Coturnix japonica: one gene and its partner. The protein of the gene in region 1 purifies or fractionates together with the protein of each later gene. This does not show direct contact. Links are inferred from orthologs where the notes say so. Each region holds a gene or a part of one and is shown on either strand. Other genes may lie near its edges. The genes, in order: TEPSIN and AP4S1.

Region 1 (4,568 bases):
TTCTCACAGTGCTGGGGCCACCCGAGGACAAGGACACGCTCCTGCCCCGTGGTGCTGCCATGCATTTGGTGACGTGGGTTTGTTGCTGAACGTCTCCGTGGCATCGTGGGTTTGTTGGCATTTGTCTCCATGAACACAGAGGACCAAAGATACCCGGCCATTCCCCAGCAGCCCAGGAGGGGCAGCGCATGGCTGTTCCTTAACAGGGACCGTCTGTAGCGGGGCTGGTGGGAGACGGAACCGTGCGGATCAATAAAATAAGCTGAAGCATTTCGATCTGATTTTAGTGCTTTAATAAACGGGTTGATGGGGAAAAGCTGCGTGGGGTGAAGGAGCCTGAGGTTGGGGTTGTAATAGAGGCCAACCCTGAGCTCCAGCTGTCAGCTCCATCACTTCGGTCACCTCCATCACCTCGGTCAGCTTCATCACTTTGCCGTCGCCGCCGCCTGCAGATTGACCTGTGTGAGCTGGTCCCGGTTCCTCCATCCCCATATTACAGAGTCACAGAATGACCCGGGTTGGAAGGGACCTCAAGGATCATGTAGTTCCAACCCCCTGCCTGGCAGGGCCACCAAACATACACCTTTACTAGATCAGGTTGCCCAGGGCCCCGTCCAACCTGGTCTTTAACACCTCCAAGGACGGGGCATCCACAACCTCCCTGTGCAGCCTGTTCCAGTTCCTAACCACTCTCATAGTGAAGAACTCCCCCCTTACATCCAACCTAAATCTTCCCTCTTTTAACTTCAAACCATTTCCCCGTGTCCTGCTATTGTCAGCCCTTTCCTGGCAGTAAGTTCCCCTCAGGTACTGACAGGCTGCACTGAGGTCACCCCTCAGCCTTCTCTTCTCCAATTGAACACACCCATCTCCCTCATCCTGTCCCCGTGGTGCCGCTGCTCCAGCCCCGTATCCCGGTCCCATATTGGTCCGTACCGCTCTATGGCAGCACTCCCGCAGCGCCCAGAACTCCCTCACACACGCGTCCCGTCGCAGCTCCGCGTTCCCGGCCGATGCCGCGGCCACGCACCGCCCGTAGGCTGCGGCCTAAAGCGGGGACAGGAAACAACCGGAGTCACCACAGCCCGACATGGCTCCCATGTGTCCCGGTGTGTGCTCCAGGCCGGGCCCCACCTGCTCCCCGCACGCCGCCAACACAGCGGGGAAGCGCCGCAGCCGCGCTCGAGCCCGGAGCCAAACGCCTCGGCCCGACATCACCTCATGCACAGGGCGCCGCCATGATGGCGGAAGAGCTGTTGGCTGCCCGCCTCTTGATAGGAGGAACGCTGCGTCTGTCAGCGCTCTGCGCGCTTGGATTGGCTGGATTGAAAATCCGGTGGTGTGGATTGGTTGCGCGCAGCACCCGCCTCCTGACCAGCTTCCTGTAGCTCTGATTGGCTAAGAGGACAGTTGTTTACTTCCTGCTACCGGCGTCAGTCCCGTAGGCCACTTCCGCCCGAAGCTCCGCCCATTCTGAGCGCTGATTGGCTGATCCTGTGAACCTCGCTCTCTCATTGGTGCTCTGCCTCTTCCTGCGGGCGGAAGTTTGAGGCCGCTCTGGGGCCGGGTGGGAGCTGAGCGGACTGTCATGGCGGCGCCGCTGCGGGACCGGCTGTGCTTCCTGAGCCGGGTACGGGCCGAGATGGGGGATGACGTCATCAGGGGGTGGACTGACGTCACCGTGGGGGGCGTGACGTCACTGATTATCCCTCGGGGTGATGGGGGGGGCGGTTCTGTGGGGCCTTTTAGGATCGCTGGGTTCTCACTGTGCCTCCTTTCAGCTGCCGGTGTTACTGCGGGGAACTGCGGACCAGGAGGAGCCGTGCCCGGGGTTTGTGTTGGAGGAGATCAGCAGTATCTGAATGGGGAGATATGGGGGGAGAGAGAGACAGCCATAACACGGGTCATGGGGACTGCAATGGGGGGAGATCCATCCAACCCTAACACATGTAATGGGGTGAGATCCATCCATCCTTAATACACATAACGGGGACAGCAATGGGGTGAGATCCAGCCATAACACATGTAATGGGCCTAATGATGGGGTGGGATCCATCCATCCCTATCACACATCATGGGCACAACAATGGGGTGAGATCCATCCATCCCTAACACATGTAATGGGCACAGCAATGGGGTGAGTGAGATCCATCCCTAATACATGTAATGGGCCTAATGGGGTGAGATCCATCCATCCCTAACACACATGTAATGGGGACAGCAGTGGGGGGAGATCCATCTATTCCTAATACACGTCATAGGCACAGCAATGGGGTGAGATTCAGCCATAACACATGTAATGGGCCTAATGATGGGGTGAGATCCATCCATCTCTTAACACACATAATGGGGACAGCAATGGGATGAGATCCATCCATCCCTAACACACGTCATGGACCTAATGATGGGGTGAGATCCATCCATCCTTAACACATGTAATGCGATGAGATCCATCCATTCCTAACACACATAATGGGGACAGCAATGGGGTGAGATCCATCCATCCTTAACACACGGCCCAGAGATCTCCCGTGAGTCAGCAGGGAGCAGTCAGTGTTTGCTGGAGTTCCTGCTGGGCCGGCTGCGCGGCGGCTCCTGCCACGTCAAGCTGAAGGTACGACATTGCTGTGGGCTGGGGGGATTGATGGAGCTGTGGGGTGGGCAGTTCACCCCAATGTTGGGCCCGTGACACCTTGTCAGGTGCTGAAGATCCTGCAGCACACGTGTGCACAGGGCTCACCGCAATTCGTGCTGCAGCTGAGGAGGAACGCTGCCTTCATTCGGGAAGCTGCAGGTAATGGGGTGTAGGAGTAGGGCAGGGGGTGGGGAGGGCTGTGTGTGGTGCTCCTGTGGCTCTATAGAACGGCCTGGTGCAGTTCTGTGCTGGCTGAGGCCGGGTTCAGCCCCAGGCTGCCTCACCTCGTGCCTTGCAGCATTCACTGGGCCCCCAGACCCCCTCCACGGCAACAGCTTGAACCAGAAGGTCCGGGCTGCTGCGCAGGTGAGTGCTGGCCCCGTGTCCTCTGTGCCTGTGCACTGCTATGGAGGCTGGAGCAGCTCCTGCTCCCCATGTCTGGTGCTCCCCAGGTCTCTCAAACATCCCTCTCTCCTGTCAGGACTTGGCCAGCTTTCTCTTCTCGGATGCTGTGCCCCCAACGGTTGCCACGTGTCCTGCCCGTCCCCTGCATCCTGCAGGTAAGTGCAGGCTGTGCTGTACCTCCAGCTCCAGTGCCTTGCAGGGGTCTGGCCCCTGTTACTGCCTGCTGGTGTGTTAGGGCTGATGTCCCACAGCTCTGCTAGTTACAGGCTGAGGGTGTTGTGTTGGACAGAGAATTGTACCCAGGGGAACAGGCTGCCATAAGTGTTCTTTTAATTGCTCTGGCTCCCTGCTCCTCCAGGCAATTCCAAAGGTTCTGCTGTGCTTTCTGAGGGAGGAACAGCAGTGACCCAAAATGCCTCTGCTCTTTCTGACTGTGCCTCATACCTCCCTTAGGCATGGGTTCCAAATCCAGTCCCTGCAGCTCCATGCAAGGATTTGGCTTCAGCAGCGAGAGAGGCAGCTCAGGTAAGTGCCATCTGAAACCCTTGCTGGGCATTGCCCTCACCCTGCATATGGGTGCTGCCCCCAGAGCCCTTGGGCTGGGCTCTCAGCTTCCTAAGGCTCTTTCCCAGCCTCAGCAGGTGAAGCCCTGCTCAGCACCATCCAGCGAGCAGCTGAAGCTGTGGCCAATGCTGTGCTTCCCTCACTGGACGGACCCCGTTCTCACTGTGGGGAGCTCCATGAAGACACCTACCAGCCTGTGACAGCTCCTTCTCCTGCCAGAAGCTTGGCCAGCTCAACCAATCCACCAGCAGCCACCACAGCTCACATTGCCCGAGGTGTTTCTCCCATTGCCTGAGCTGCCCACCCCACTGTGTTTTGGGGTTGCTTTGTCTCCTTCTGGGGCCAGTATGTCACTCCCTGGTTTGCTGTTTTTGTGCTTGCAGTGAGTCATCAACCAGGGCTGGCAGGGGGCGGCTGGGAGGAGGCAGACAGTGGGCACAGCTCCCAGAACTCCTCACAGGAGAATGGTGACCTGAGCCGCACCTCAGACACCTACAGTAAATCAGGCAGCGACAGCCACTCTGGGACCAGCCGGGAGCTGGTGAGCGGGGCTGAGAGGTAAGAATGGAGAACAAGGCATGTTTCGATTGCTCCGAGTTCTTTTGAGATGGTTTTTCCATCTGTACATTGCCCTTGTTTCCCATACTGTATTTTCCATCTCCTGGAGCTGACAGACTCTGTTCCTCTGGGGGTGTTTGTCCTCCTGGTCTGGGCAGCCCTCAGCCACATAGAGCTGACTGCAGGGACACTGTGTGCACAGGACGGAGCAGGGCTGTCTCTGTCTTCATGCTTTCCCTTTGCAGGGTGGATGCTGACAGCCTGGGTGATTGCCTGAGGGAGGTGAGCCTGGTATCAGCACTGACACAGGGAGCCAGGGTCTTCCTGACCAGGGAGGAAGCACAGCACTTCCTTAAGGAGTAAGTGCCCGAGGTGGATGCTCCCCAGGTGTGGGGCAGCGTGAGCC
Region 2 (4,472 bases), on another chromosome or scaffold:
CAGCACTTCCAAGGTAATGGGCAATGAGGAATGTCTCAAGGGCTGGAGTAAAACAAAGGGCCAAGAGGACTGTGAGGTAAGGGGCAATTTTTGGTCACGATTTGATACTGTCTGGGGAGAATGAAAAAATCTGCTGAGGTGGAAAAGTTGGATTCAGACAGGCTGATCAGTGTGGAAAAGGGAAGACTGAGGAAATGATGGTAGGAAATGACTTAATGGAGAAAAGTCGGATAGGAACTGGTAAAACAACTGAAACAGCAACATGCACCTGAGGTCAGCAGAGAGGAAATGCCAGCACTGGGACAAGCAGGATTTATTTTTCGGCATTTAATACAATTACAGCACTGTCAAGAACGAGCCCATTAAGGACACCATCCATGTTCCACCCATATATACAGCATATGCATTTTTAGGGAAGTAAAACCGAACCCGTGTGTTATTTGTGAAGGGGCGGCCTACAGATCCACCAGGACGTGGTGGGCACTTGGTAGCGCTGCATTTCAGGGCAGTGCTGTGCAGCCCAGCTTTCACCACGTCCATGCTGTGCAGCCAACCCGGGCTGTGCTGCCATGGCACACCAAACCTGCTGCTAATGTGCGCGCTCGTTCTTCCCATCACGGAGGGGAAACATTACACAAACCCCTCAACTACAACAGCACGAAGACGACCTTCATTACAATACAATTAGGATCGGGCACCGCCAGAGCACTTTCAGCCAACCTGTTCTAGAACCACCTACTTGTGAGACACACCGAGCAGCGCCCAGCACAGCCCGGCGAGGCACAACCGGAGCGGCCTTACAGCCCCTCCCAAAGCGGCCGCCCCCCGCCCGCTCAGTGAGCAGTATCGGTATCGGTATCATCAGTATCAGTATCAGTATCAGTATCAGTATCAGCCCGCACTGCCCCTCAGCGCAGCCCCCCCCAGGTCACGGCGCTCACCTCCCCCAGGCGCATGCGCGCTCCGCCGCCTCGTCGGGCCGGGAGGAAGGAGCGGAGGGGAGAGGGGAGCGAGTTCCCGGCATGCCCCGCGCGCCGTGCCGCTCCCCCTTCCCGTGTGGGTGGGCCGAGGCCCGGCGGGCTGTAATGGCGGCTGGCGGCGGCTGGGCGCTGCTCTGACACCCGGATACCGCTCGGCGCGGCCCCCCGCCTCCCCGTACCCGGCCCGCCCCCTCCCGCCCGCCGCAGCCAGCGCCGCTCGCCCCCTCCCCGGCCCCCGTTCGTGGCCCCCCGCCGCGGGACGAGAAGGAGGGCTCCCCGCAGACAATGGACGAGCACCCCGGAGCCGGAGGAGGCGGCGGGATGGCGGCCGCGCCGAGGCCGCAGCAGCCCTCGCCGCAGAGCGGGGGTAACGCGAACCTGCAGCCGGGCGGGGGCTGCGCGGGGGCCGGAGCCGGCGGCGGAGGGCAGCAGCAGCCGCAGGGCCCCGCGGCCCCGGGCGGGCAGGAGGCGGCGGGCCCCGCCGAGCTGTCCCGGCCGCAGCACTACACGATCCCGGGGATCCTGCACTACATCCAGCACGAGTGGGCCCGCTTCGAGATGGAACGGGCGCACTGGGAGGTGGAGCGGGCCGAGCTGCAGGTACGGGCCCAGGGTGGGCTCCGCGCGCGGGGCCGGGACCGACTCGGGGTCTCGGGGCCGCACGGGAGAGCGGGGCCGGCGGGTCGCCAAGGCCGGGGCGGTCGCTGCGGGACGGGAGCGGTACCTGCGCGAGGGCCGGACGGCGAAGCGACGTCGCCGGGCGGCGGGGCTGGCGGAGGCGCGGCCGCTCACGGCCCGAGCTGGGCTCCCTTCCCTGGGGCAGCCATTTTGGTTTTTAGCATGGCGCCCGCCTGGGCTGTTGGCGCCGGAGCCAACCCGGCTCCGCGGGCCTCGAGGGCCGCAAAACGCCGGAGGAGGGCGGGCGGCCGCTGAGCGCGCTGATCGGTCGTGCGGGGCAGGGCCCGGAGCGCCCTGACAGCTGCGGTCCCCTCCCCGAGCACAATGACTCGGGGGCTTTCGGAGCCCGGCCCTGCTCAGCCCTGGGTGCTGCTTTGGGAAAGCTGCGGCCCGCGGGCGTGGAAGGATACGGCTTCACCGGAGCTGAGCGAGCGGCTCCTTCGGGGTAGCGGGGAGGCGGCGGTGCCTGCCGAGGTGGGAGAACGCTGAGAACGGGGTCGAGAAATCTCGCAAGCAACGGACTTGACCGGGTTCTCACGGTGGAGACAGGTCGAACACATGCTCTCTTTCCTTCCTTTTTGTTTCTTGGGAGACCTCACGTGGGAGAAGCAACTGCTGAAGAATAGTGAGGAGCTGATGGGTCTGCAGTGTGATCCTTGTCCTACAAATACAAACTCTGTGTCAGGAGCAAAAATTGAACAACTCTAGAGGGCAGGGAGCAAGTGTTTGAGTTCCAGCATAGATCTCTGGCCATAAATGTTTGCTTTTCATAATGGAAAAGATCTCTTGTATTTACGTGTTCATATAAAAAATAAAGCCACGCATCACAAACTTATGTTCAGTTTATGAAATCTACAGAGTCTGAGGCATTTGTCTATAAGTTGTGCATTTTTTTTTCTCCTATGAAAGCATAACAGTTAAAATTGTTTAAAAAAGAATGTTTCTTGTTATGATTTATATGTTGGGTGAATGTTTGCAGTCTTGAAGCAGCATTCCATCAAATCACGCCTTACCTGCAGTTTGTGGAAACATGCTGTAGCAGCAGCCAGTGTTTGTGATGTACGTCTGTGTACATCTTGATGTATGTCTGTGTACATCTTCAGACTGTAGAATGGAGAACTCTACCTAAACCTGGACAATTCTTTCAGGATTTTTCAACTCTTAGACCACATGTGTAATTTGCAGGGTTGTTGTTGTTACAGCTTGAATTGAGATAGAATAAAAGAAAACAAAACATCACACCTTCCCCCTCCTCCCCCCAGAAAAAAATAAATAAATAAATAGTAAGAGAGATTTTGCTATTTATTTCACTTACTGCCTGATTTACTATTTTAAACCTTTCAGAACAGCTGATCCTAAAATCACTGTGGTGGAAATGGGGTGGGTATTTTCAGTAGCAATGGACTTGTTCTCATATCTTCTGTAGCGTCTCAGTAGTATAGTACTGTATTGATAGGTAAATAAATAGCTCAGTGGTGTTCATTATCAAGCAAGACCATCTTGAAGTACTTGTTTTGTGTATAGGCTTGTGACTTCACAGTGAAGTACCTCGTTCTATAAATGTAAGGTGCAGTTTTGAGATGTTGAAAACTCTGACTGGAAGTGCTGGTGTGAACTCATGTGGCCTCTAGATACTGTGATGTGTTTCTGCCAAGTCTGCTGCTTTTTTTTCTATGTAACTGTAGTTTGTCATTCACAGCCACAATGTTTCATTTGCTTGTTACTTAATCTGCCATCCTAGTTCTGATCCTGGCTTTGTATGTGTTGCTTCACTCTATCTGTGTGTGTGCATTAGGTCATGGGAAGCAGGAGCAGTGCTCCCTGCCCAGTGTGTGTGTATGAGGGGAACTTTTTTGTTTTTTTGCTGACTTCAGAAGCCCAGGATAGAAGTGTGATCAGGAAGGAGGCAGGGAGAGTGTGTTTCCTTTGCATGTTAGATGTCAGCCTTCATAGTGATTAAGTTCAGTATAGGACTGTGTTAAGCGTGTTCTTTTGGAGGACGTGCATGAAAACCAGGCCCTATGGTTTTCATGTATGTGTGTGTATGTTTATAGCATATAATTACTTTTTGGTCCTACAACTCAAGTAATGAAGTCCCAGTTTATTCTGTGACTAATAAAACATTTTGAACCCCAAACAACTGCTTTGCCCTTTGAAGCCTCTATGACTGTTGTTCATCTGTGAATGCAGCCTCCTGAGTTGAACAGGAAAAAAATCTGGTAGCATGACAGTAGTAATTAATATGGAAGCTAGAAGCATGAGAACTACATTTCATAGATGCAGCTCTCACCCATGCAGGTAGTTTCTTCCTTCTTTAGTAATTAAAGGTCCCTTCCTAAGTTGACTTGATAACTTTGCAAATAACACTTTACAAAGAGTATGTGGAAAACCAAATGACTTAGCAGAACGTTGTTTTATTTTCTTGCTCTGAACTTAAGATTTTTTCCAGACAATGGGATTTTTATTGGCAGTTTTAAACCGGTGGGAATTATTGAGTGATTTTTCCCATCTCTCCCCTTCTGTCCCCTTTGTGGTTCAGGTGACTGGTAAAGAGCCCTCTTTACAAATGGGGGCAAGGCAGGTGGGCGTATGGTCTGCCATAAGCTTTTGTTTGGTTTTCTTTCTTGGATCTTGTAGTGAACTTTTAGATTTCTTATAGTACTCATGTATGGAGCACATCTTTACAATTAATTTCAGTTGCAAGTTGCTTCACCAACTTGAGGTTTGTACTACAGCCATAATAACCAATCCTCAGTCCTTTGGATCTGAATAAGTTCTGTACCAGTGTACTTTAGTCTGTGCATGTGTCAGACT

What was found.
Region 2: the proteins of TEPSIN (region 1) and AP4S1 purify together in Homo sapiens (co-immunoprecipitation; 3 studies listed by BioGRID and IntAct, with this or other methods). This does not show direct contact. The link is inferred for Coturnix japonica from reciprocal best matches to the Homo sapiens genes TEPSIN and AP4S1.

Annotation. Positions count from the first base shown.
Region 1 is NC_029533.1:5,094,591-5,099,158, reverse strand, and holds the start of TEPSIN (AP-4 complex accessory subunit tepsin), read left to right. Parts: upstream 1-1,522; 5' UTR 1,523-1,588; coding exon 1,589-1,630; intron 1,631-1,781; coding exon 1,782-1,854; intron 1,855-2,522; coding exon 2,523-2,614; intron 2,615-2,700; coding exon 2,701-2,794; intron 2,795-2,933; coding exon 2,934-3,001; intron 3,002-3,116; coding exon 3,117-3,195; intron 3,196-3,493; coding exon 3,494-3,565; intron 3,566-3,672; coding exon 3,673-3,879; intron 3,880-3,987; coding exon 3,988-4,162; intron 4,163-4,407; coding exon 4,408-4,521; intron 4,522-4,568. Other genes in the region: NDUFAF8 (NADH dehydrogenase [ubiquinone] 1 alpha subcomplex assembly factor 8), read right to left, coding at 426-446, 937-1,047, 1,135-1,215. UniProt on the Homo sapiens protein: Associates with the adapter-like complex 4 (AP-4) and may therefore play a role in vesicular trafficking of proteins at the trans-Golgi network.
Region 2 is NC_029520.1:30,851,290-30,855,761, forward strand, and holds the start of AP4S1 (AP-4 complex subunit sigma-1), read right to left. Parts: upstream 2,873-4,472; 5' UTR 1,705-2,872; intron 1,581-1,704; coding exon of another isoform or gene 1,266-1,580; exon of another isoform or gene 1,073-1,265; intron 1,039-1,072; exon of another isoform or gene 942-1,038; intron 1-941. Other genes in the region: STRN3 (striatin-3), read left to right, coding at 1,266-1,580. UniProt on the Homo sapiens protein: Component of the adaptor protein complex 4 (AP-4). Adaptor protein complexes are vesicle coat components involved both in vesicle formation and cargo selection. They control the vesicular transport of proteins in different trafficking pathways.